3 linked regions of the Drosophila melanogaster genome follow. The protein of the gene in region 1 interacts with the protein of each later gene in a pairwise test. Each region holds a gene or a part of one and is shown on either strand. Other genes may lie near its edges.

Region 1 (8,243 bases):
ACAAAGACTGAAAGTCCGTGTGAAAATGAAAGCGCGCGATCAGCTGCTTCTCCGCAAATCCGCTCCGGCGATCATGCGTGTGCCGTGGAGAGAGCCCGTCAACTGACTGCCGTGGTCTGCGTCTGCCCAGCCACAGAGCCCACCGAGACTTATCTCTCGCGGGGATGGTGGCGGAGTGGGGGGAGCGTTTCAAAGAGCGTTATCATGCTTACATATGTGTGTGTGTGCACACATGTGCCTGAGTTCTATGTGGCCCTTCCAGGTGAATACACTCCGTGTTGTGGCGATAAAAACTATATAATGCCATGAATGAAACGCACGGCCCGTGGGCGGTTTTTTGGACCGTAACGATGATGCTCACAAATCGTAACCGATGGCAAACATAATTGTTTACCATGTTTACCAGCAACAGGTTTTTGTATGGAGCCTCAGGCTACACAGCGTTTGCAAAAAAATTACGCGTGTCATGCAAGCAGTTAGGAATTTCGTTTTGTTCAAAAGATAGCTAAAATGTGTTCAAAGTCCGTGCCAAATGAACTATTGAATACAATCAAAACAAAAAGCTAAGCTAATTTCGTATGCGCATATCGTGGAATATGTTTAAAAGAGATTACGTCTCTCTATTTTTTATTGCATAGTATTTTAGTCATGATCGGAGTTCTGTCTTAAGGGAATTTCACAACATAAATGGCCATATACACAATATTGTACGGTATATCCGATTAATCATTGTTACCAAGCTCAATTGAAAAGGCAATAAATTTTGAAGTATCAAGTCATGTTCCCAAAACAATTTCAATTTATGAACGCCTTATACACATGACGATAGAAATATTAATATCACTGATACACACTTAAAAAAATTTTTCGCATTAAATGAAGTAACTACAATAATGAAATATTTTTTTTTTTCATTTAATAATATTAAGACACAAAACCCTTTCAAAGATTATCCTTTAATTTTATTATTTATTCTAGAGAAATGTTTACAAAACGTTTAAAATTTATCGTATGTTTTTCTTATCTGAATCACCAAATTAAAACCACTACATATGTACTACACAAATATTTTTGTTTAATCAGATAAGGGCAAAAGGGACTTCCCCCGCCAAAAATCCCATATAAGTATTATGGCGAATCAAACGTACTTTGGAAAATCCACGCCCTTTAATAACATTAGTTCATCAAAGTGCGGCTTTAAATTTCCGCATAAAGTGACGCTGAGTTGGTTGTTGGTAAATGAATGATAAAGGCAAAAACTGGACGAAATAGTGCCGAATCATGCTGAAGAGGCAAAACCTTACACACTGTCACAGTGGTACGTCGGTGTAGGTGAAAACAGCAGCGTAATCAGCACGGATGTTGGGGATGTGTGTTTGTGTGTTTGCAGGTACCGTTGAACTTTGCTTTCACATAAACAAATATTACTCACTTACATTGCTCTCCCTGGGGCGACAGCTGTCACCCTTGCACACACGTACGTACTGTACATACTATTTACATACATACACACACCCGCACTTCCAACGCCATGTGCCAAACAGCTGATAAAGGCCATTGAAACTGAACTCGAAAGAAGGCCACTTAAAACAAACCACTTTGTTGTAAGAGATTACCGCAATGCAGGACAAACATTTACACTTTATCACCAGGGATTTCAAGATCTCACAGATACTTCATATATTTATGTATATAACCACGTAAATCGGCTGGGAAAATACACCGTTAATTTCTCCCTTTGTTTCATTGAGGTTTTCACATGCAGATAAATGTACGATCGTAGACAAATAAAAGGTTTCCCAGCTGGAAACTAAACTATGCGAGGGTCATGCACTTTTTATGCCTTTTTTGCACTTTGTATGTTTTATTTACTGCTACTCACATCTGTATTTATTTATTTTGCCACTACACAACGATTTTTTCTACTCTTCTTCTTAAGGTAAACATGCAAGTGCTGGAAAACGCTCGACACTGAAAGCATGTAATGACAGGAGTTGCCAGATGTCCAACCAGCTGGTGGATATTTATAAAATAAATGGTATACATGATATTAAACCACATTTACAAACAATTTTAATTATTACAACTTTAAAGTTGGTTGTACTGTTTCACTATTCTGATAATTTTTTTTTTTTTTTTTTTACATATAGATGTAGAAATTCCAAGACGTGAACCATCGTGACTTATCGAAAGCAAAACGATGATCGGCAGCACGTGGTATTTCTCCGCGTGGTAGCTAAGGTCCCACTAGCGCGTTGGTTATAATTTGTTTGTATCGGCGTCGGTTGAATTGAAATCAGTTAATTTGTCGCAAAGTAATTTCTGTATAAGTATTAGCTGTGCTGCTAGAACTAGAACGCTACAAGGTGGGTGTGCTTATGTTTATATTGATTTACAAAAAGCTAAAATACTGCTGGTTTCGATGGGCACTGTCTGCGCATCCTTTTTGTTGCGGTAGGATAGTATAGCATACATACATAAATTTGTGCGCGTACAAAGGAATAATTCAAATGTTCAAAATGTGCGCAAAATATGAAGCAGCAGGCGTTAGAAACATCAGTTTTATTGCCCTGCAAAAGGGCTTTATTGCACCCCTCGCCCAAGAGCTCACATTTTTTTTCCTTTCTCCAAACAAATTATCGCCAATTGCGGCTGTCGCGCCGCCATTTTAAAAAACGAACGCGGTATCAGCCTCCTACAATTGCATGGTACAGTGGTGGCAAAGCATAGTGGACCAGGTCAAAAAACCTGGGATGTCGAAATATCAAACTATAGTTTATTTTTGTTTTCAATTATAAGTAGCTTGGAGAAGCATATCTAAATATATAGTACATACAATATTATCTACTGCAGCGTTACATCCTTGAATATCGTTTTCTGTATACAAATAAATAAGAGATTCAATAACACAATGGTAGCTATCTAAATATGTCTATCAAAATAGTAATGTTTGATTCAGATTTCTCTAGTCAAATATTTATTGCTTTTGTACTGTATGCAATATTTTGGCGCGCACTGTATGCCGCCTTTTCTTGCCCACTCACAGACAGTTTGTCGCTGCACATGTGTGGGTTTCTGATTTTTTTGTACTCTTCCTTTTGTTTGTTTTTTTTTGCCGATCCGATCGCAGCTTGTTCAAATTGATTAACTAGACTTGGAGCAGAACCGCCATTAACCACTCGACCATATAAAGAGGCATTTATGCTCGAGTTTAATCAACTCCGCGAAGCAAATATCAAAACAAACGACGAAAGGGCACTGCAATAACAGTGATAATTCCGCATAAAAGAGGGCTTGGCTATAAATACATGTGTGCCACACACTCACACACTCGCATCTGCATGGCAAACCTCGCAAAAACATTCATTCTCTTCATTTCTCATTTTTGCAGTCTTTCGCTGCAATTGTGTGCATTATTTTTTATGTATTTTGCGCAGCATCGTTCGTTGTCCGCAATTTTTCAGCATTCGCATTTCCACTTTCTAAAAACAAAATAAAAAGAAACCCGGTCAATGCAATTTCCTTCTAAGCGAATTCCCCGTTCCCTCCTTGCCCTACGTTTCTCTTAAATAAATGCACCTGGGTGCAACTAGTTTTGATACCCTCACAACAAGTATTGAGGTATACTGATCACAAAGGTATATTGAAACAAAAAAAATTTAAAGATACATATTTATATGACATTTTTATATGTTTCTCGCGCATTATTTGTTTGTATCCAATTTATTATTTATTAGATAACGTTTATTAGTCTTAAATTAGTAGTCAATATTTCTACTCAACAAAACCCACAAAAGTCTATAATCACAAAAAATCAGTCAAATGCCATTTAAATAATTGGTTAGAGTATGTAGCAATCCGGATAAAGTAAAATTGAACTTTCGCATTTATCTGGCATCGAGCTGTCTGGGAAAATTCCATCTCTTGGCATTCTAGACGAATTTCTTCACTTCAGCCGTTCTTACCCTTTCGTGTCATTTCACTTGCAAGGCGAGCGAAAACGGAAAACACACTGGGGCAACCAGCTTTGCGTGTTGGTCTGTATTTGTTAAGTTTGTGTCTCAGTTTGTTTTGAATGCATTTAATAGAACGGAAGCCAGTTAAAAATATGGGGGAAGTGAAAGCCACTCAAGCAGAAACAAACAAAAAAAAACATAGTCAGCGAGCAGAAAAACCGAAAATTCGAAGCAGAATTTTTTGAGCGAATTCGAAATTTAGAGGTAGAAATTAGCATATGGTTGACCGTTTATTCCCGGCAATTAACACATCCTAATCTCTGCACATATGTCCGTCATAAATGGCAGCTGCATCGGCAGGTAGATTGTCCATACTTCACGTACCTGCAATGAATAAGATTCCCCGTCTAGCTACTTAAACCGGGTCAGGATGAAGATACCTTAGAGTTAAGCTTCAGACTTGAATGTGTGCGGACGTGCTAGAAAATCAGAAATAAAACGCTTAGCGTAGAAAATATCAAAAACTGTGATTACATTCCCATACTGAACAGCAAATCTGTGGTAATTGGGTGGGGGTATTGATTTCATAGCCGGTTCTCGCAAGGAATGTGGTGTAAACAAACCGCAAATCAATTCGTGTTTACTTTTTTGTTTTCGTTTTCACAGCCCTCTGAAATCAACGAATAAAATATTCTCTTTGTTTGTGCTCCCTTGCAGAGATCGTGCAACGCATCGAAGGAAACCCAATCAATGTTAAGCAAAATGGCTAGCAACACAAGCGGCGGGGGAGGTACCACTTCAGGCACTGGAACGGGACGTCGTCTGCCACTCTCGCTGAGCGGCGGTTCCACCGTCACGCGCTTGCAGCAATCTTCTGGCAGCAACGGCCGCTCAAATAGCCCCCAAAATGGGAACAAAAAGATCACAGAGTCATTTTTGCCGGTAAAAAAGAGCAACCAACCGCGGACCACTTCGACTGGATCCACCGGATCCAGCCAGAACGGCGTAAGCAAGCCCACAAATGGCAAAGATAAGTCACAGAATGGCAGCTCAACAGGCAAAGACCAGAAGGTAGAGAAATCTAAAGATAAGTTGCCGGAAAAGAAGGCAAAGGAAGTGGGTGCCGAGAATAAGGATAAGGATGGCGCTGCCGAGATGACAGATATGGAGGTTGTGGTCGAAAATAAGCAAAAGGAGGTGGTATCCGAAAATAAGCAAAATGAGGTGGTATCTGAAAATAAGGAAGTGGTATCTGAAAATAAGGAGGTGGTATCCGAAAATAAGGAGGTGGCTTCCGAAAAAAAGGTGGTGGTAGCTGAAGTTCCCTCCGACAAAGACGACAACGGAGAGACCAAAAAAGATGATGCTACCGTTGAGAGTACTGCTCCTGCTTCTCAAACGCCTGCGGATGCTGCGGTAATCATCGATGAAGTAGTGTTTATTCCCGATCTCAGCACTCCTACTAAGGATCGCAAGTCTACACGCAAGTCGGGTAGCCAGCAAAAGTCACCCATCAGCAAGGCAAGCAACGCTTCGCCTGTCCAGAAGATAAAAACCGAAGCAGTTTCTTCATCGACATCGGGCTCTTTGACTCCACAAGAAGATGTCGATATGGAACCGCTACAAGTGGATGCCTCTCCCATACGCAGCGTCCACGGCAATTTGAATGCCGTGCCGACGGCTACATCCACGCCCGGACGCAGTCTCTTCAGTTTCCGTGGTAGCAACAAGCAAAGCACCGAGGTAGAGCTGGCTGCCCAGACTTCCAGCTCGCCGGCAGGAACTCCGGCTCGCACTTTCGCCCAGATCAGCGGCAGGCGTAGCATACGACCCATCGACTCACTGACGCCCTCGAAAATAGGCACCTACAGGTGCGGGAACAGCGATCTGGACACCTCGAACTGCACGAACGCAAGCATGAATGCCACAGTCGGATCAGAGATCCCCAACAGCTCGTCATTTTCATTTTCATTCTTTGGCCGTGGCCGCAAGCGTGAACGCACTCCCCCACCACTGACGGCCTCTCAGTCGACCAGTGACCTGGGCCACGACGTGGATATGTCGCCGCCAAAGCGCGCCCGCTTCGACTTGTTCAGCCTGAATTTGGCTTCTCCCTTTAGCTTGCTGCGCTCGAGATTCTCCAAGGCAACAATCGGTACTCCGACCCGTCTGCGTCTGGAGCCGAACAGTTCCGGCGTGGAGGAGCAACATCTGAACACATCTACGACTGGCGTACCAGAAGAGGTTGATGTGGAGGAGGAACAACCGGCCGAAGACGTGACCGTTGGTCAGGAGGCCGGAGCGGAGGAAATCCCCGCCAAGAAGGATGTCGAGGATAAGAACGTCAATGGCCAGGATGGCGACAAGGAGTCCAGCGATGGAGAAAACATTGACCCTGTTGTAGAGGTGGCTGATGTTGCCGCGGTCGCTGCCGAGGGCCGATCCATCTGCTCAATTATGTAATACAACAGGCCAGACCACATAATACCCTTCCCTTAGTTGATAAGATTGTCTTAGCATATCTGTTTCACCCTCTTTGGTAATTTATGTTCTGACGTAAAGTAACATGTTAAGAGAAAGTTTTATAGCTAGGACTCGTCGGGTCGTTTTTCGTCAGGAAAATCACCGTTCTGTCACAGATTCCTTGCTGGTTGTCTCCTCGCGAACTCCCGGGTCGCAGACAACCACCGACGAATCTGACGATCTGTACCCAGGCAAAAGTGGGTACCAACCGTAGAAAACCCATACTTGTAGTAATCTGTTTAAGAAATTTTTATATAAAACACATATTTGTGAAAGTCTTTTCGCCGAGTTCATGTATTGTTTCGCTATATCAAAAGAAAAAAAGAAAAATGTAACACATTTCATAAATAAAGTACATTAAAACGAAATATCTGAATTTTTGGTGTATGCATGGGTATTGAAGGCACTGCGATTTTCTTTTTCAGATATAAGTAACTTATGTGTTTTATGTATTAAAATAACCCATCAATTGCGATATTAAGCTTAAAGAAAATTATTTTGAATGATGTGAAATTGAATCCTTAGTGATGGCGAAAAAATCATTTTAGTTGCATCGTTTGGAAACCAGTTGTTTTTATTTATACTCGATAACTACATCCATTTACAATAAACTAAAAATGAGGGACTCGATGTAAATTCATTCTGCAACATTAAGTTTTTAGCGGGTATCGATGCAACGCTTTCCAATATTCAATATTATGTGGCAACGCTGCCAAATGGGTTTTGTAATTACAGAAGTGGGTAAAGAAATAAAATAGTTAACATCTAATATTTATATATTGTAAGCTTTGACACAAGTCGAATAGGAAAATAAATGAATAAGTTAATCTTATTTAAGCTTTTCGGAACTGCTAACGAGTTAAATAATCTTAGGGAAATTAATAACTATTATATTAGTGAAAGAATAAGAATTGCTCTGCCAGAGTTAAGAAAATACATACGAATCGTGAAATAAATATTATTACAATTAAAATAAAAAATTAATTTTAATATTTATTTTTCGGCTGGCGGCTCTAATCAACAGCTGGAAAGATATCGATATCGACAGGAGAATATCGATATTCAATCGGTATTCGATACTGCTGCGATACAGCAAAAAAAAGAGAGATTTCTCGGATTAGATGAGATACCAACGAAAAAATTATTAGTCAAGTGCCCCCGCAGAGTAGTTCAGCCACCAAATAGCCCGCAGAACAGTTCAGTCCAGTTGGGTCCAACACAAGCCAGTCGAGAGCCAGCGGAGTAACAAGGAAACCCGTGAATCCAGAAGGAGGTGGAGGAGGAGAGCCAGAAGCCACGAAGTGGGAAGTAGAAACCAGATAGGAAACATGTCCTGGACGGAGAAAGTCGATCCAGAGCTCATCTTCACCAAGCAGGAGCGCATCGGCAAGGGCTCCTTCGGCGAGGTGTTCAAGGGCATCGACAACCGCACCCAGCAAGTGGTGGCCATCAAGATCATCGATCTGGAGGAGGCCGAAGATGAGATCGACGACATCCAGCAGGAGATCATGGTGCTGTCGCAGTGCGACTCGCCGTACGTGACGAAGTACTATGGCAGCTTTCTTAAGGGCACCAAGTTATGGATCATCATGGAGTACCTGGGCGGTGGATCCGCCTTGGACCTCATGAAGGCCGGCTCCTTCGAGGAAATGCACATCGGGATCATATTGCGCGAAGTGCTTAAGGGCCTGGACTACCTGCACTCGGAGCGCAAGCTGCATCGCGACATCAAGGCGGCCAATGTTCTGTTGAGCGAACAGGGCG
Region 2 (7,247 bases), on another chromosome or scaffold:
TCATCTAATCACATCGTCATCAAGCTCCCTAAACAACGACATCTGAATTGTGACTGGTGCCCTATAAGTTTATATTAACAATATAATTGATCCTTTGCTTAATGCTATCTCTATAAGTGCTTCAATAAACCGGAACTGACTTGATATGTTATTGCTAACACAAATTCGATCTACGTTTTGTAAGCTTACCCTAAAATCATGCACATCTTTGTATATAATCTGAAAAATATACTCTTAAGCTGCCACACATATGTACTTTACTACCCAATAAGCCCGAAAGCAATCAGATTTTTTAAACCTTGAAACCAACAATTGCCTCCCAATCCCCCAATCTGGCTTGTTCCCGCCCCACCCTTGATTCCCCACCCACACAGCTCCATTCATCCGGAGAAGTATGATCATACGCTCCTGAGCTCCAATGTCCAGCTGCCCAGACGCGGTAGCTTCAGCTCCGTGTTCTCGAATCAGAGCAGCAGCAGCGACCTTGTCGCTACCACTCCCCCGGTGACGCCAGAGAAGAAACCATCCGCAAGATCGACCGGCAGCACCTTTTCGTCTCTCATGCTCAAGGATTACGAGGCTATTCCGGCAGTGGGTGCCTATTTCGAGGTGCGCGTTGCCCTCTCCGTCAATCCCGGTCACTTTGCGGTAAGTCAATCATCAGCAAATTAATGACTCCGATTATGATGTGCGATTCTTCCGCAGGTGCAACCGTACAAATACTATAACCAGCTGCAGACTTTGATGAAGAATTTACAAGAGCATTGCCAAAAGACGGCAGCCAAGGGAGTGCAGCCTTCACAACTGGCCATTGGAGAGGCCTACGCTGCCCCTGACTCCGAAGGCGTATATCATCGGTAAGAACTTATTCAGGTCTTGCAATAAAAACGCAGACTAAATCTGTTAATCTTGCAGCGTAAGTATTCACAAGATTTACGATGAGATTATACACGTGCGTTTCGTCGACGTGGGCGACGATGGAGTAATTGCCTGTGATCAACTGAAAACTCTAAATCCGGAGTTAAGAAAGCTGCCCAAGATGGCATTGCCAGCACAACTTTATGGCAAGTTCAAGAGAACTTCAGCAGTTTGGCGTTAGAACTAAAAACGATCTTCTTTCAGGCATACAACTGACTGATGTAGTATGGAGCAAGGAGAACTGCGTCCGATTCCGGGAACTGTCGCTGGGTCAGAAGTTTATTGGCATTGTGCGGCGAATGACTAAACAAAAGGATGGCGGACGAGCGCTGTGCCTGGAGCTGGTGGACACCTCCACGCCGAAAGATATTAAGCTGCACGAGATTCTCATCAATGAGAAGCACGCACAGCCAGCAACATAAGAAGTCTGAGTCGGAGGAGACGATCCATTTAAATTTGTTCATGTTTATGTTTGCGTAATCCTAGTTTTAGAATTAGGAATATACATATAACTTATTACGACGAAACATTCCGCCAGATGGAACCGATAATAGCTAATAAACTGATGTTTTTTATCGAGAGAACGGATGCACTTGATTTGCGGACTTGATGTTTGTTTTCACAGCCGATGGCGCCTTTCCCAGCTGCTGCTGCACGTTGCCGGGACTCATAGCGGGTCCACCCATTGGCGAGGGTGCTCGAATTGAAGGCGGTACCATCATGCCAGGTCCGGGTCCATAGTTGGTCAGCTTGAGTCCTTTTCCCATACCCACGGCGGCCACCAGGAGCTGTGTGTCGGCCATGCTACTCGTCTGCTGGATGCCGGTGCGCGAAGAGCTCTCGATTTCCCACTCCTCGCGCGCTTTGCTGACCATATCCAGGACGTGGGAGACGACCTTGTTGTATTGAGTGACCTGTTTCATGGCAGCGTCGTTGGTGAGGTTCGCCGCCTTCTGTTCGTTCTGCAGCATTTTCTGTTCCGTAATCGGATCCGGCCGAGTTCTCAAATAGTCTGGAACAATGTCGTGTGAAAAGACTGGCACCCGACCCTCTGTGATGTTGATGAGGGTGTCATCCCGGTCCATGGAGACCAGAAGGGGCAGGACCGTTCGATTTCTTAGCGGCGGACACTGCTCCTTTGCCAAGATTTTCGTCAATCCCGTCAAGTGACTTGAGATAATGGCAAAGTTGTCCAGGAAAGTCGGCCAGTTGATGGTCTCGTACTCTAGCTCAAGTTTTTGGATCATCGAGAGAACCGCCAGCTTCAGGTCGTTCAGACGCTGAAGGACCGTATCCAGCGTCAGCTCAAAAAGCTTTTCGTCGCGCTGCATTTTGGAAACTCCCAATTAAACTATTATTTTTAACTTCAGTCGGATGGACACAAAGTGGAAAGTGTGACCGTGGATCTGCTTATTATCATTTGTTAGTCGGGTGTAATAAAATACTGCAACACCGTACTATCGATAACGTTTGCGATAGCAGCAAACTGGCGTCCACACTACATTCAGATCCTAAAATTAAAATCATATGGTCAATTAAGGAAACTGAACAATAAAAAATGAATTAATGCTCACCAATAACTAATAATTGATCGTTATTATTTGTTTCTGTTTTAATTTAAATAGAACTAATAACTTTTATTTTTGCAATAATTAGCAGAATCGTTAATGCATACTTAAAATAATGTCAAAACAATATGATATGATTTAAATAGTCTAATATATAAAACATTCCCAAAACGAATAGTGTTTTCAACTACGAGCGCCTCTTGAAATAACACAATATTTATTATTAAAATATATAAACTGACTCGAGTTCATCAGACTCTGAACAGTCCTTAGACTATTGAAGCCAAGCCATCGATTGTGCCCCGGCATATCGATACTACCAACATGGCCGTCGAGAAAAATTGAAGTGAACGCAACGCCGTGTTTTTCATTTGCCAATAAAACGTTAACAGCTCACGAAATATCGTAAAGCGTGCCCGCAAACGTCGCCAAATGTAAGCAAATTATTTTAGTGCCTGTTTTACATCGTTTACATAATTGCCAGAGCTGAAATTCGAAATTTAGTTGCTGCCGTCGGGAGTATCGCCAACTTTTGCCTCACACTCTCTCTCTGTCTCGCTCTGCATTCCTCTCGTGCTGACAAGGCAAATATATTGGTGCTGGTGTGAGTGTATGTGTGAAAAATGGAAGAAATTCAAAATGCATATGTGAAAAGATATACGCGCAAGCCGATTAAAAATCGGCTCTCTCGCACGATTTTGATTGGGACCACAGGTCCCCGACCCCCGCGGCGTGATATGGGTTAAATGACAGCCGGAGCGCGTCCGCGATTCTCTCTGCGTTTTCAGGTCTCTCCGCTCTATTCCCATTCTGTATAACTCCGCTCCTGATATTGTTGTTGCTTTGTGTTAGCCATTTCTAATGCTCTCTTTACATGTTTCTATATTCAATTGTAATATATTTGCAGCTTGTTGTGTATGTTTTTGAAATGGTAAAGTGTGTTGTCGCGTTCGCCAAACCGAATCCGAAACAGTAAACCAAACCCTAACCGATTGGGGGTAATAAACATTGAAACCCGAGTACATACATACATATATCTGTCGCGCGATATATATACATATACATAGTTGCCAAAGCGATAGAAATCCGAAATCTCGCGATGGCGTCGCGCAGGCGCGCCGAACTGAATCCAAAACTGCACATGGACAGGCAGCCGACAGCTGCCCGCATAACAGGTACCTGAACTGAAACTTCTACCAACTACCAGCAAGCAACTGCATAGAAGTGGGAAAACCCAATTACCTCGCCGGGATTAGCGATGTCTAAGGGCCCATAAACCCATCAGCCCGTCTTAGGGGCTTCCCGGAACAAAGCACCGCCCACCACCCTGCCAATCGAAGCTTACCTTTTACCTCTCAACCTTGCAGATCCCTCATTACCCGCTGGAAAGCGACGCGAGATCGACAACGTGATGAAGAAGGCGCGCGCCAACACCACCAACGATTATTGGGACAAGAAGCTGATCGAGGCAGAGGAGAAGGATCCAAACCGATGGCGCCACACGGGCTACAAGAAGATGTACATCCAGGGGGAGAGCAGCTCTGGAGAGAGCGAACGCGACGGTCGCGAAGGTCGTGAGGGTGGAGCACCGCCCTACGGTCGTTATCCGCCCACAGGTGGACCGCCGCCAGGTCCACCGCCTCCGTCGCAGCGTTACGGACGCTCTCGTTCGCCGCACTCACGCAGTCGGTCGCGTTTGCGCAAATCGCCACCGCTTTCACCACCTCCGCGTCGTCGTTCACCGCCCATGGCTATGCACAGTGGCATGGATCGCCGTGGTGGACCTCGCTCGCCGCCAATGCCACGATCGCCCAACAATAGCCACGATGCCCTCATGCGTCGACCCGGAAACGGCCACGGCGGAAGGCCCCGATCACCGCCGGAACCCAGTGGTGGCTCGTCGTCCTCGTCGTTGCGACGCAAGCCAAACGCGTCGCGTTCTCCGCTCGGACGTCGCCGGTCTCCACCGCTTCCTCCGCCCTCGTCGTCGGCAATGGAGAAGCGAGGTCCAGTCGCCCATATCCTGCCGCGCTCCAAGCGACCGCCATCGCCACCACCGAGGGTGAGTTTTCAACCAGATAGTGATACATATTATTCTGTCAGTGAGAACCATACCATTTATACATATATCCGTGTCCCTTTGCAGCACTCGATGCGTTCGCGATCAAACAGCTCTATGAGCACCAGCTCCGATGATTCCTGCTCCCTCTGCTCACCCAGTCATCGTCACAGATCTCGGTAAGTATTGATATATGAAATGTGTTTTCTTTGTTCCTATTAAACTTTTTTTTTTCCATCTTAAAGATCCCGCGGTCCGCGCTCGCCGCCACCCAAGCCACGTGGCCATTATCGTTCGGGGGCGCCTCCGCCCCCTCCGTCGGAATCACATGGCCGTATCCATGGTCGCCCCACCACTCCACCGCCCGTGCGCGGAGGTGGAGGCAGTTCGGTTTCCGCCATGGAGAAGTATCGCCAGGCGAAGATGCGTCACATCGGGCATGAACGTGTCGCCTCGTCGGACACCCACATGAAGATCGCGCGGTCCTCGCGCCATTCGCCTCCGCCGGAAGATCCGCGTCTTAAGCACCGCCCGCCAGAGCCACCAGAGCCGGCGTCAGCGCCAGCTGCAGCACCTACAACACAGGCAAAAAAGAAGAAGAAGGAAAAGGAGGTAAGCATTGTCCGAAGCTAAGAGTCAAAATAAATTTGAAACCAAATATAACAATCCATATATATTATTTTCCATCAGGTGAGGCCACGCATTAAAATTGAAGGTGAGAAACGCAAAAAACATCCGAGCGGGACGTCCAGTGGCACCGGAGCTAACGCGGCAAACTCCTCCTCGGACTCGGACGATTCGAACGGCTCGGACAGCGACGAGGTCGGCACGTTGCCCACATTCTCGGCTACTACGCGGCTGACGCTCTCGGATCGATTCGGCAAAATGGCGCAGTGGAGCATCGATCGCAGCAACATGGAGAACATGCGCATCACCAAAGACTCCGCCGGTGGGGCCCTCAAAGTAATGATTGAGGAGGGCCTGGAGTCGCCGCCGCGTCGCTATTCGTATTCGCCGGCACCGGCCGGGCACTTTCCGGAGGAGTTAGCCACCACAGCACCGTCGGGAATGCTGTCGTGGGACGATGTGCGCGTCCGTTACGAGTACTACAAGAGTCGTGGTTACCTAAGAGACTTGGACCTGAAGGTAAGTGACGATTTTATCCGCAGTCCAGTACAAATGGTAACATTTATCTATATCTTTTAGGACTATATCAAGTGGGAGGAGTGGTGGTATAAATATCAGGAATGGTTGAAACAGGAACGCTACTATGAGTACTGGGATCGCAGTCAGCAATTGCGAAGACGGCGCAAAAAGCTGCCGGTAACTCAGCGCTTGAATTGAGTGCCCCTATCATTTGAATCATTTCATTAATTCTTTTAATTCCCAACTTCCAATTCAGCTCATTTACTTGACCTACTATTTCCTTCCTTCTCGTTGTATCTTAATCATTTCCTCATCCCAACTTCCCCCGTTTGTACATTTAAAATGTATGAAACTGCACTTGTCAACTTATATTTTGATAATCAATATAATTAAAAGCCAAGCACCCGGAGATGTTTGGCTCTTGGCCTCTGACATCCTGTTGTTGGTGTAGTGGGGCTTTCATTAACACTGAACTTTGTAAGTTTTTTTTCGAGTGCATGTTGTTCAGTACAACACACCCATATACTTGTAAACGCATTAAACAACAGTCGGTACATAAATTTTGTCTTTTACTGGGCCTGGTTTGATTTGACATCTCTATTTCCACGACATTACATACATTTGACGGGATTTTACAAATGTAACTTACGCTCGTAAGTAGAAAGCGATGAAACGCCATCTGTGGACATTTTCCGAAAGTTGCCTAGAGCTTTTCAAGGTCAAATACATTTTTGAATAAATAAGCTGCCAGAAGATGTCTGACGACATTGCGAATATCGTCGGAAATGAGGAAAAAGTGGGCGCAAGTGCCTCCCAACTGAATGTCAATACTGTGATGTGCACGCAGCGTTTATTTGACGGCATATAAATTGAAAAATTCACATAAAAATGTGTAATTATTTGGCATATTTTCAATTTGCACAAAGGCGATAAGGGAAACAGTCAGCTGGAGGTGACACGCACATGGAGGGCATCGGGAAAATCCCTGATATCCATCCCAGTTCCTGGGCGTGATTTCCGTGCACAAATTAGCACTTTTTCACTTGCTTTTTCCGGGGGTTGGCGGCTGATAATCAGATTATGCCCGGTGCACAGGGGATGCTAATGTGTCGATATCGAGCTTCTGCCAAGCTAATTGCGGTTGAGTGGGGCATCGTTTGGGATGGGGGGGACAAAGGCTCCACGGAGTAGCCATTGAAGCGGACTTTAATCCATCTTGAACTCTAAGGGCGGTTCCCCTTCAACCCATCACTTCGGCCCAATCGCCTGAACCACGACCCTGGGCACTGCTCCTCCTCCGTGTCCGGGCACAATTAAGCTCTAAATAACAACAGCGTTAAGATGGCTTTAAGGCCCGATTTGGCCCCCGGCCACCAGAAAACCCTTCAGTAGAACTCGAGGAAAAGTCACGTCTAATTACACACATCTTGAAGCAGCTTTTTGACCTGGTTGACTTACTTGGCTGGCTGCCGTTGGTCGGACGGTTTTACCAAATTGGTTTTAAAAGCCACAGGGGGTGAGGCGTTGAGAGCGCGTGAGAACGTGAGCAATTATTG
Region 3 (9,428 bases), on another chromosome or scaffold:
CATCGATCGCTCAGTAGAACTCGCAGTTGTTGAATAAATAAGTTTTATTACACTTTGATCAAATCGACAAACAAGATTGATGCGTAGTTCATAATTTACGGGTATGCTAGTGGAATATGCTTGATGCCAGGGACCGCTGCTGCGAAGGAGGGCTAGGCCCAAGTGTCTGTACATCCGGCAGACCGCCGAGTTCCTCGGAAATTATAAATATTTTGATCAAGAGCAAGTCTGCGCTCTGACATGCAATTGTACTTTCCGTGCGGGTGGGGCTGGGATTAGCAAATATGTAGCTCTAGATTCTAATAACAAAATACAGTTTTGTGCCCGGCTTATAGACTAGGACGATGCCTGGAAGCCAATCGCTGGTGGATTGATTTGGTTTTGCTCTTTTGATTTCCATTTGCAACAACTTGAATGAGCTTCTACAAGCAGCTAAGTCTACAAATGCAACAATAAATACACACAATAAATTTAATAGCGTTTCCATATCGATTGCACACCCTAGCTCCGCTCCATTCCTCGATCCTGCCTGCCTTGCCTCTACGGGCTTTGCTTTTGCATTTGCCGGAAGCAGCCCCGGCACACCGGCACCGGCTTTCCACTGTCGTGTCCTGGCAGAGCCACGTTCTTGTCTATGCAGCGCTCGCAGAAGATGTCCCCGCAGCGCCAGCAGTGAGTCTATTCGAGGATTGGATCATCATCAGTGGCAGGCTTGCTTAAGTACGCGGAGTTACCCACCTTTTTGCTGAACTGATCGAAGGGCGTGGAGCAGGAGCAGGTGGTTACGTTGCGCATGGGCTTCCAGTCTACGGCCACGGAGTTGATCTCCTCGGGCAGCGCCTGCGGCGGACTGGATTGTTCCGCGCTCAGCGACAGACTGGCGAAGGACATGTTGCTGGCCTTCAGCGGATGATCGTCGTCGGCGGCAGACAGTTCGCTAAGCTTCTTATCGTAGTTGTATCTGCAATAAGCGGATGGATTATAAAGCATACTATAGCATAATAACTAATATCTATCATACGCACTTGTTGTCATTGATCTCGTTGCTGGAGAGCTCCTTGTTCACTTTGCCAGGGGCGCTGGTGGCGTCTTGCAGTTTCTTGGCCGACTTGGAAATGTAGTTCTTGAAGCTGGCTATGCGCTTGGTCAGATGCTGCACGTGGTCCTCCAGCGAGTTGCAGTGCTCCTTGCTATCGAGCAGCACGTCGCCCAGTGGCTCCCGCGGATGAATGCCGCTCTCGAAGCGACTGTACATGCCGCGCCAGAACCTGTGTGAGAAGCGCATAGTTTATATAGGATTTGGCTCATTCCAGAAAGTCCTCACTTGATGCACTGCGGTGCCAGGTTGGCCTTAATGGCCTCGTCTACATTTGGTTTGTACAGCGGGTTGATATACTCGTTCAGGTGATTGGCCATATAGCCCCACAGCGAGAAGGTGCGCTCGGCCAGCTTTAGGTCCAAGCGATCCTTCTCGCAGTTGCCCACGAAGGTGCCGAATTGACATGAGTGCACATGGTCGTGCAGGATGAGCAGGAACCGCTCGTTGAACTCGAAGGCCTCGCTGCGCTGCGACATTAGCTGCCAGGTACAGTCCAGGAACTGTGTGAAGATCGGCGACACCTCGCGGGCATCCGTCTGGATGTGACCGCAGCGCTCGCTGAACTTGTGCCCGAATGCCAGCCAGTCCTTCTCGATTAGCGCCTGGAAGCCCTTGATGGTTCGGTAGTAGGGGTTCAGCATCAGCTGCGCCAGTGAACAGACCTGGGCCGTGCGGTCCCAGCCGTCGGAGCAGTGGACCACCACCGAGACGCCCTTGTCCACGGCGTTGGCGATGAAGCTGCAGGGTGACACACACAGAATGTTAACAACTCAGTCCACAATGCCATTGGGAGATTCTCCTGTCTGTTGGCTCACCTCGACGTGTCCAATATGGAGCGAATGTGCTTCAGCCAGCCGGATGACTCCAGGGCATTTATGAAGGCGCTCATCGTGGGCGACTTCTGTTCGCAGGCCTCAAGCACCTTTTGCAGACTGGCACGCTGGACGTGGATGTTCTCAATGCCGAGGAAGTGGAATTTGATGTTCTCGTAGAAGGCCTCGTTCTCGTATCCCTTGCCGGCGGCTCTGTTTGCCATGGCATTAATCTGCAAATGGCGTAAATGGATTATTTGCATTTATGCTCGCCTCGGGAGATTCCCCTGTCACACTCACCCGCGGTCGCGTGTCCACCACATACATGTAGTCCGTGTTGGAATTCGTCTTGCGTATGGCCTCCAGCATCTGCTCATCCTCCAGACAGCGGGCACTGAATCCGGACAGGGGCTGACTGCAGCGGCAGATGGAAGCCTGCAGTGGTTCCCAGTTATGTAAGTTTGCTGATAATATGAGTTATGTATATCTTCGCCTAACCTTGTTGTTGTGCAGATAGGTGAGCACTGGCAGCCGCCCCTTGGAGCGGAATCGCGAGCTGCTGATGAGCATCAGCGTGGTGGCCTCCTTGGGCACGTAAATCTGACGCGGATAGGTGTCGCACAGCTCGTACTTCTCGTTCATGGAGCACAGCGTCCAGGCCTCGTTGGGCACCAGCATGTGCTTGAACTCCGCCTCCAGTTTAAAGTAATCCCAGCCAGCGTTCTTGGGGAAATCATCCTTGTTCGGCTGGTAGTTGAAGCAGTACAATTTGTTGATGGACACTGTTCGCGGGATAGGAATGTAGGCTTGTGAATGGCGGCCGCATTGTTGTGTTTGGTGGATTCTTACCCGGCTGGAAGAGTTTCAGCAGCGAAGTGTAGACATCGTGGCACTCGGAGTCCTTGGGAATGACGAAAGTTACGGAGAGGAAGGTCTTGCAGCGGATGAGTAGCGGAGATCCTGTCGTGCTCAAGGGAAGCTTCTCAATGCTGGCCACGTGCATGTGCAGGATCTGAAGAGAGCGCAAAGCGTAAATACAAGTATATAACGTCCGGTGTGGTTAATAAATCTGCAGAGAATGGGTTGCGTTGGCTTATTTCCCCCAGCTACTCGGATGATTGCTGCTTATGGTTTGCTGCCCTTTGTGAGCGAAACATCCAAGAAGCCAGCTTGCGACCGTGACTTCGCCCAAGGCTGCTCTTATGCAACGCGGGCAAAAGCAAAACTTCACTCCCCCCTTGGACACGGGAGCTACGTGCCCGAACAGAACTGCTTTCGCCACTAAATAATTGATGCGCCCCAGTGGCGGGCAATAAAAAGAAGCGGAGCTAGACAGGGGAGGGAAGAAGCAACCGGATTATGAGGAACTAAGCAACCAGTTTTCAATGGCGCACAAAATCGATAGTTGCCTGCTCTTTTCGCCCCCTCACGGCGGCTCTCGTGCTCTGATCCTAAGTGTTTTCACTTTTAATTAACCACTTTGCGCGGCCCCCGCAAGTGCGACTCATCCGGAATCCCGACACTTACGCTCCTGGGCCACTTGTGGCACTCGAATGCGCCAACTTGCTCCGGGGAGTGCATAATTAATACAATTTGGGCGAGGCAATTAAAATGCAATGCTTGCCTGCTTCCGGCCAGCAACCTCGTTACGTATACGCAGTGGGCAACTTACACGGTTGGAATAATTAAACGCATTTAGTGGCACTCGCATGTGCAGGGATTTGAGCAACAAATCCGGCGGTGTGTCCAAAGGATATGAGCTTGTCGGGCACTTATTGTGCAATATAACGCTAAGCCAGGGCTTTTTCGCGACTATTCACCAGGCCGCTTATTGTCACTATATCCTTTCAATTTCGCTGCGAAAATCGCATTCGCCAACACAACGAACGAGCCTTAAGCTGCAACAGCTTTTCAAACAATTCCCAGTGAATTTAAAGCAAAGCAGCAAGGAAATATGCTCACAATTAACGTACACAAAAGCTGAACGAATTCAATTCGTATGTGTGCAATGGGGCGTATACGCAACACGCTTGTGCAAACATTCTTTTGTGTGCGCCAGATTGCGATTGCAGGAGGCGAATTAAATTACCTGTTAGGTAAATAAGAATCTTAAAGCGCAGGAAACATGCTGCAAACTCGTTAAAGGAAACTTTTCCCCACTCAACCGCTGTCTTCCTCCTCTCGAGAAAGGAAAGGTGCAGAGCACCTAAGACATCAGTCGGCTGGCTGCCAGAGGGGCTCTAAACTTTTTGACAGCTGCGAGGTCGGTGCTAAACCGAAAAGAAACCCATTTGAGCACGTTCGCAGGCAGCGGACTTAGTTGCCAGCACAGTGGTGACTCACATAAGCGTTTTGCGTGGCCCACAAACGCAAATCCACATTTGCCACTCCAGCCGACAAAGTTGTTAGCAAAGGGGACGCGAATTTTAGTCGGGAGCTAGCGTATTGATGATGTCATTATGGGCCACTTACCCAGGTCTCCTTGTTGCTGTCGGGCTCCACGAATATCAGATGGGTGGCCGTTAGATAGAGTGTGCCAACCGTGGGATTTTTGGTATTGTAGCGATCTATCATCCGCACATTTTCCACCTGCAAAAACAAAAACAGAGACAGAGAGAATGGAAATGATTACAATTGGGTTTAAATTCGCTATTTCATTTCAGCTGCGCCCCCGGCTGACGTCAGCGGAATCCATATAGTTTTGTGGAAACCCACTCGTACGTACACATTGCATACGAGAAAGAATAAACTGCATGAGTACGAAGAAAGGAGCAAACTTTTTCAATCAACTTTCAGCGAATACCCGGCTGAAGTGAATGGAAACTTCATCAAAGATTCATCAAAGCCGAGGATATGTCAACTTTAAAGCACCACCTAAATATAGGCACCACAATATGTGCCCCTTGCGGTTAGTTGTTTGGCATCCATTTAACAAAACCGTCGGCCGACCAGCGGCACATTAATTCCTTTGATGGTCCTGCAGGCCGGATTCCCCAAACCAACCCATGCCGCCGCTTCCCCATCTGCGCCGGCTTTTATTGCCCAGGAGGTCTATACATATTCCATTTCCCTAGAGCCGTTCATCATCGGACTAATTTCCTTTCATGTCACTTAGATTGAGGCCCTTGTTTGAGCCGGGTCCATTGTCGAGATAGATAAGGTTAGTTAATTGTCTGATTTAGCCAGTGCGAGTTCATTACCCTCGCCCAGCGGGCAGGCAAATTAAAGCGTGGATTTAAGATAAACAAATTTGCCTAACTAATCATTTGTATAAATGAACCTTCATAAGCTTTCAGATTCAGAAACTGTAGCATATATAAGCATAATGCATAGCACGAGTATTTGATTAGATTTATAATGGTTAAGTTGCACATGCAGAAGCTCAATCAGTTTGTTGGCAACATGGCGCATACTTGATGCACGATTATCAAACGAACTGAGCCATAAAACTTAATTATATTTTGAATTTCGAAATTATCAGATACACACAAATAAAGACAAACGAACTGCATTAATTCAATCTGCGTATAGTGCACATGGGGAGTTGGTGCCATTGTCCATTGGTAATCAACATGGGTAACCTTGACAATTGCCAAGTCCGGTGGCCTGCTCTTGATGTACGAGTGCAATTTGCCAGCCGATGGCAGTTGCATCTGCGACTTTGATGGAAAACCCATTCCATTAATTGACCCAGCTCCGCACCCGAGTATCCCGCTGACAATGCAACAATCTGTCAGACTTGTGGGTGCCCCGAGGAGTGATTGTGGTGACGCACTTGGCGCCCGGATGCAGACCTGCTCCTCGTTCCCACACATGACCCACATAGGAAACGGGTTTCGGGAAGAAGGGGAAGTCAGCTTTTGGCAGGCCCCCGAACATACTGCCTGTGTGCTGATTTGCATATTTTCCGGCCAGTGGCCAGTAGCCGGTGGCCATGGGTGAGATGGGAAAATTAGCACGATTTGCTCGCCATGATTTGCATGGGAAACTGGGGAGCAGGATGTTGGTCTGTTGGGCGGGTTTACCTTCTTGAGCACACTGTTGCCGTTGTAGAAGACCGGAGCCTCGTTGAACTCCTCCTCGATCCAGGAGACCACCTTTTCGGAGACGAAGGGCGGCACTGGCACGCCCCACAGCCTCTTATTGCCGTCCGGCGGCTCCTCCGTCTCCGGCGAGATGTTGTCGAAGCTCAGCCGCAGCGCGGAGGTCGGGGACAATTGGCGCTCGATCTCGTTGAACTTGTTCATGAATCGGGTGATGTCCATTGCGGGAGACTGGCGGGCCGCTTTATTGATTTTGAATCAGCAGCAGCAATCGTGTGCTGGCAACTCAAATGGAATCAATCCAAGTTTGTATGGGTGGAATGGCCTGGGACTTTCACTTTTCGCCTGCCTAACGAGCGCGAAACTCGCGCTATTCACTGGCGACTTGCTGTGCCTTTTTGTGCGATTTTACCCCACGGATATGAGTGTGTGTGGTTTGCTTGGGGCAGCGCGAAGTGCTTCCGTCAAACGATGGAATGGAACTCAGTTGCCTGCGACGAATGCGCGCGCTTAAAAGCGAGCTACGATTTTGTGTTGGGGAAATTTGTCAAGGGAAATTCTCTCTCTCTCTTGCGAAGAGAAGACAAATTGAGCAGTTTGTTACATGGAAATACCCTGTAAGGATTGGGATCTTACTAAACAAAATCAAGATATTTAACTGCATGATTAAATATAAATGATAATGTAATAAGATACTGCTTCTAATTTAAGTTACAAAAACATTTTAGAGAAAAGCAGCATTACCTATACGAGTTTTTTAAATTGACTAATAACTTCTTCTATTAAGTTTACATTACTTAAAATAGGTATTTGAATTTGAAAGAATATTTATTATCCAACTTAGAATGCAAATATTTCATATTTCAAGGAGTTTCTAATGATTTATGTAAGAATTTAAGATAGGTAATTTCAGTTTCGTTACATTCAAGGGCAGATCTAAGCTGCAAATAAGTTTCCAAACTTGCATTGATAAGTAACCCAATTCGGAGATGCGGGAATCCCATCAACTTCGGCCACAACACGAACCCAGTTAAATAGGCCACGTCGAAGGGCAGAAATGTATGTAGCCTTCCATTTTGGACGCTGAGAGAACCTTCCACTGATTTGGATGGACGACTTTTCACGGTTAAAAATTGTGGCTGAGTGGGTGGATTCTGGGTGATTTTGGGATGGGAAGAGAGCGCGGCTCGAAACTTATTTACTTTGCATTCTATGCGCATGTTTTGGTTCCGCATTAATGGACGTGGATTTCTGGGAGTGCTTCCACCTTTCCGGGGGCGGAGCACCCCACCTGTGTGGGCGGAGTAGCCGGTAGTTTTCCCACGGAAAGGGCGCAGGTGGAGCACCCTTACCATCGATTTCCGAATGGCCAGCCCCCGCGATGGATGACTCACAGCGCCTTCGCGGCAGCCCAGCCAGGTGCTCCACGGTGGTCGCCGAGGTATGACCCTGGCTGCATTGCACCCTATCGCATTGATTAAGCTGATAACTAACCTTGGCGAGCTTTATTTCGTCCATTGTTTACGTTTTGATTGGGTTTTCCTGTTGCCTCACGTGAAAACGAGCCACAAAGTCACTGTGCACTGATTCGCCCAGCGGTTCACAAGCTCACGCAAGGGAGCCTCGTTAATTTGGTAGAACTGCACTCGTGTTTGCTTTTTTATTGCATTTTTTTTGTAATTATTCCCGAATAATAATAAATTCTTCGAGGCGATTGTACGAACTAGGGATGTGCTCCAGTCGATAGGATCCACCCCCTAAGCTATCGGCCGTCGACGGCTATCGGCGGCCACTCTTTGCGACCGTCTGGCAGCCTTGGCAAATTCAAAAGTTGTGCGCAAAAATGCATTTAATGTACGTTAAAGTTGAAACACATACAAGTAACAAGGAACGCGATGGCTATCAAAAATTGACTAACATTGACGGTAGGCGGTTGGTTCTAGCCATTCAAGTGCACTTCAGGCGTGGGCGGAGAGGGTGTAAATGCGGTGAGTGGTCGTCGTGTTCATTTACGCAATCCTACGTATTTCGTCCAGACGCCCTTGCTGTCGAAATAGGGCTTGTTACGGGAACAGATGATGGCCTCCCTGAAGACATCGGCATAGGAAGCGGGCATGGTCGTGTGCTTATAAAGATTGAAGAGGAACTCGTATATCTGCAAGGATTCTCATTGGTATTTTGCAGGTAATTGTAACCAGAGTGTTTCAAACCTTAGCCTCCTGATCCTTCCAAAAGACGTGATCGCACAGGTACTGCAAGCTCTCCGGGAACAGTGCCAGGCGCTGCTTGTCGTCCGTGGCCACCACATCGACGCTGCCCAACAGCACGGCACAGCCCGAGAGCACATCCACGGCTAGGATGAAGATGTCCAGCAGGTAGAGCGCCCTGTTCACCTTCTCCTTGTTGGAGGCCTCGGCCAAGAGCATTTGGATCTCCAAGAACATCTCCGCTATCCAGTTGCTGGAGTGCTCATCGCTCTCGAAAGCGTACAGAGTGGCTGCCAAGTGGCGGTAGAAGAAAGGCCGCTCCTCCGCTCGTTTCTCGTAGGCATCTATTATGGGCGTAAGCCACTTGAGAGGATTTGGAAGCTTCTCGTTGTACAAAACCAAGTAGCACCGAATGATGGTCGCCTTTTTCAGCTTGCCCACCGGCGTCTCCCACCAATTGGCTGGCGTCGTTAGACCATCAATTGCATTCGGATGCAGTGTGGCCACCACTTCCGTGTAGCGTTCGAAGAGCCTTGAGTCCAGATTCATCGAGTCCATGTAACGCTCAACAATCAGGGTGAAAACATCCAGCACCTCTGGTATGTCGCAATTGCCGGTGAAGATGTACTTGACGCTTTCCAAAAACTTTTCGAACAAACATCCTGGAAAGAAACTAAAGCTTCGGGGAATTGCTCATTAATATACAAGCGGATTGGGACACACCTTCAACAAAGTCATTTATCTGCGATTCCTTAAAGCAGTAGACAGCCACCTTCTCGGCAAAATTCTTCAGAATCTGGAGGCTCACACTGTTCGCAATCTCTGGCAGCAATGAGAAGAGCAGCAACAGATCCTCCTCGAAGCAATTGGGCTCAAAATCGATGAGGAAGTTCTCCAGGAGGCGCTTGGCGGTTCCCGAGTTGACGGCCTGATTCTTGGCAATTATGATGCAATATTTTCGCGCATCGAAGGACAAGTGGAAGAAACTGGTGAGGCAACTCCAGTCCAGCGGCGGAATTGGCTTGGGAAAATTTTTGGACAGCGATCGCAGAGCGAAAGTTACGGCATACGGTTCCGGGACGTAGTCTCCAAAGCGCGCCTGGCTCACCAGATAGTTGGTCACAGCGCGGAGCGGACTAGTGGCAAACAAGCCCACCAGTTTCCGTGGCTCCGGTTTGCCCTCGGGCAGGCGGTAGACTCCGCTGCGGAAAGCGTTAATCTCACTGTCTATGTGATGGGAAATCAAGTCTGCCGCGGCATCTCCGCA

What was found.
Region 2: the proteins of kuk (region 1) and CG8929 interact in a two-hybrid assay, tested with the Drosophila melanogaster proteins (one large-scale study listed by BioGRID).
Region 3: the proteins of kuk (region 1) and Mtmr6 interact in a two-hybrid assay, tested with the Drosophila melanogaster proteins (one large-scale study listed by BioGRID).

What each region holds. Positions count from the first base shown.
Region 1 is NT_033777.3:17,077,991-17,086,233, forward strand, and holds kuk (kugelkern), read left to right. Parts: upstream 1-2,253; 5' UTR 2,254-2,366; intron 2,367-3,955; exon of another isoform or gene 3,956-4,037; intron 4,038-4,397; exon of another isoform or gene 4,398-4,517; intron 4,518-4,673; 5' UTR 4,674-4,706; coding exon 4,707-6,419; 3' UTR 6,420-6,791; downstream 6,792-8,243. Other genes in the region: GckIII (germinal centre kinase III), read left to right, coding at 7,808-8,243.
Region 2 is NT_033778.4:20,324,474-20,331,720, forward strand, and holds CG8929 (uncharacterized protein), read left to right. Parts: upstream 1-2,796; 5' UTR 2,797-2,920; exon of another isoform or gene 2,921-3,393; 5' UTR 3,394-3,585; coding exon 3,586-3,661; intron 3,662-3,853; coding exon 3,854-4,548; intron 4,549-4,632; coding exon 4,633-4,724; intron 4,725-4,790; coding exon 4,791-5,157; intron 5,158-5,235; coding exon 5,236-5,691; intron 5,692-5,751; coding exon 5,752-5,889; 3' UTR 5,890-6,248; downstream 6,249-7,247. Other genes in the region: tapas, read left to right, coding at 375-648, 706-857, 916-1,064, 1,123-1,340; MED8 (mediator complex subunit 8), read right to left, coding at 1,491-2,249.
Region 3 is NT_033778.4:23,388,981-23,398,408, forward strand, and holds Mtmr6 (myotubularin related protein 6), read right to left. Parts: upstream 6,442-9,428; 5' UTR 6,177-6,441; coding exon 5,937-6,176; intron 4,501-5,936; coding exon 4,384-4,500; exon of another isoform or gene 4,001-4,383; intron 2,924-4,000; coding exon 2,761-2,923; intron 2,694-2,760; coding exon 2,410-2,693; intron 2,347-2,409; coding exon 2,212-2,346; intron 2,145-2,211; coding exon 1,915-2,144; intron 1,838-1,914; coding exon 1,325-1,837; intron 1,269-1,324; coding exon 1,026-1,268; intron 962-1,025; coding exon 739-961; intron 679-738; coding exon 541-678; 3' UTR 29-540; downstream 1-28. Other genes in the region: CG3520 (uncharacterized protein), read right to left, coding at 7,960-8,109, 8,165-8,823, 8,885-9,428.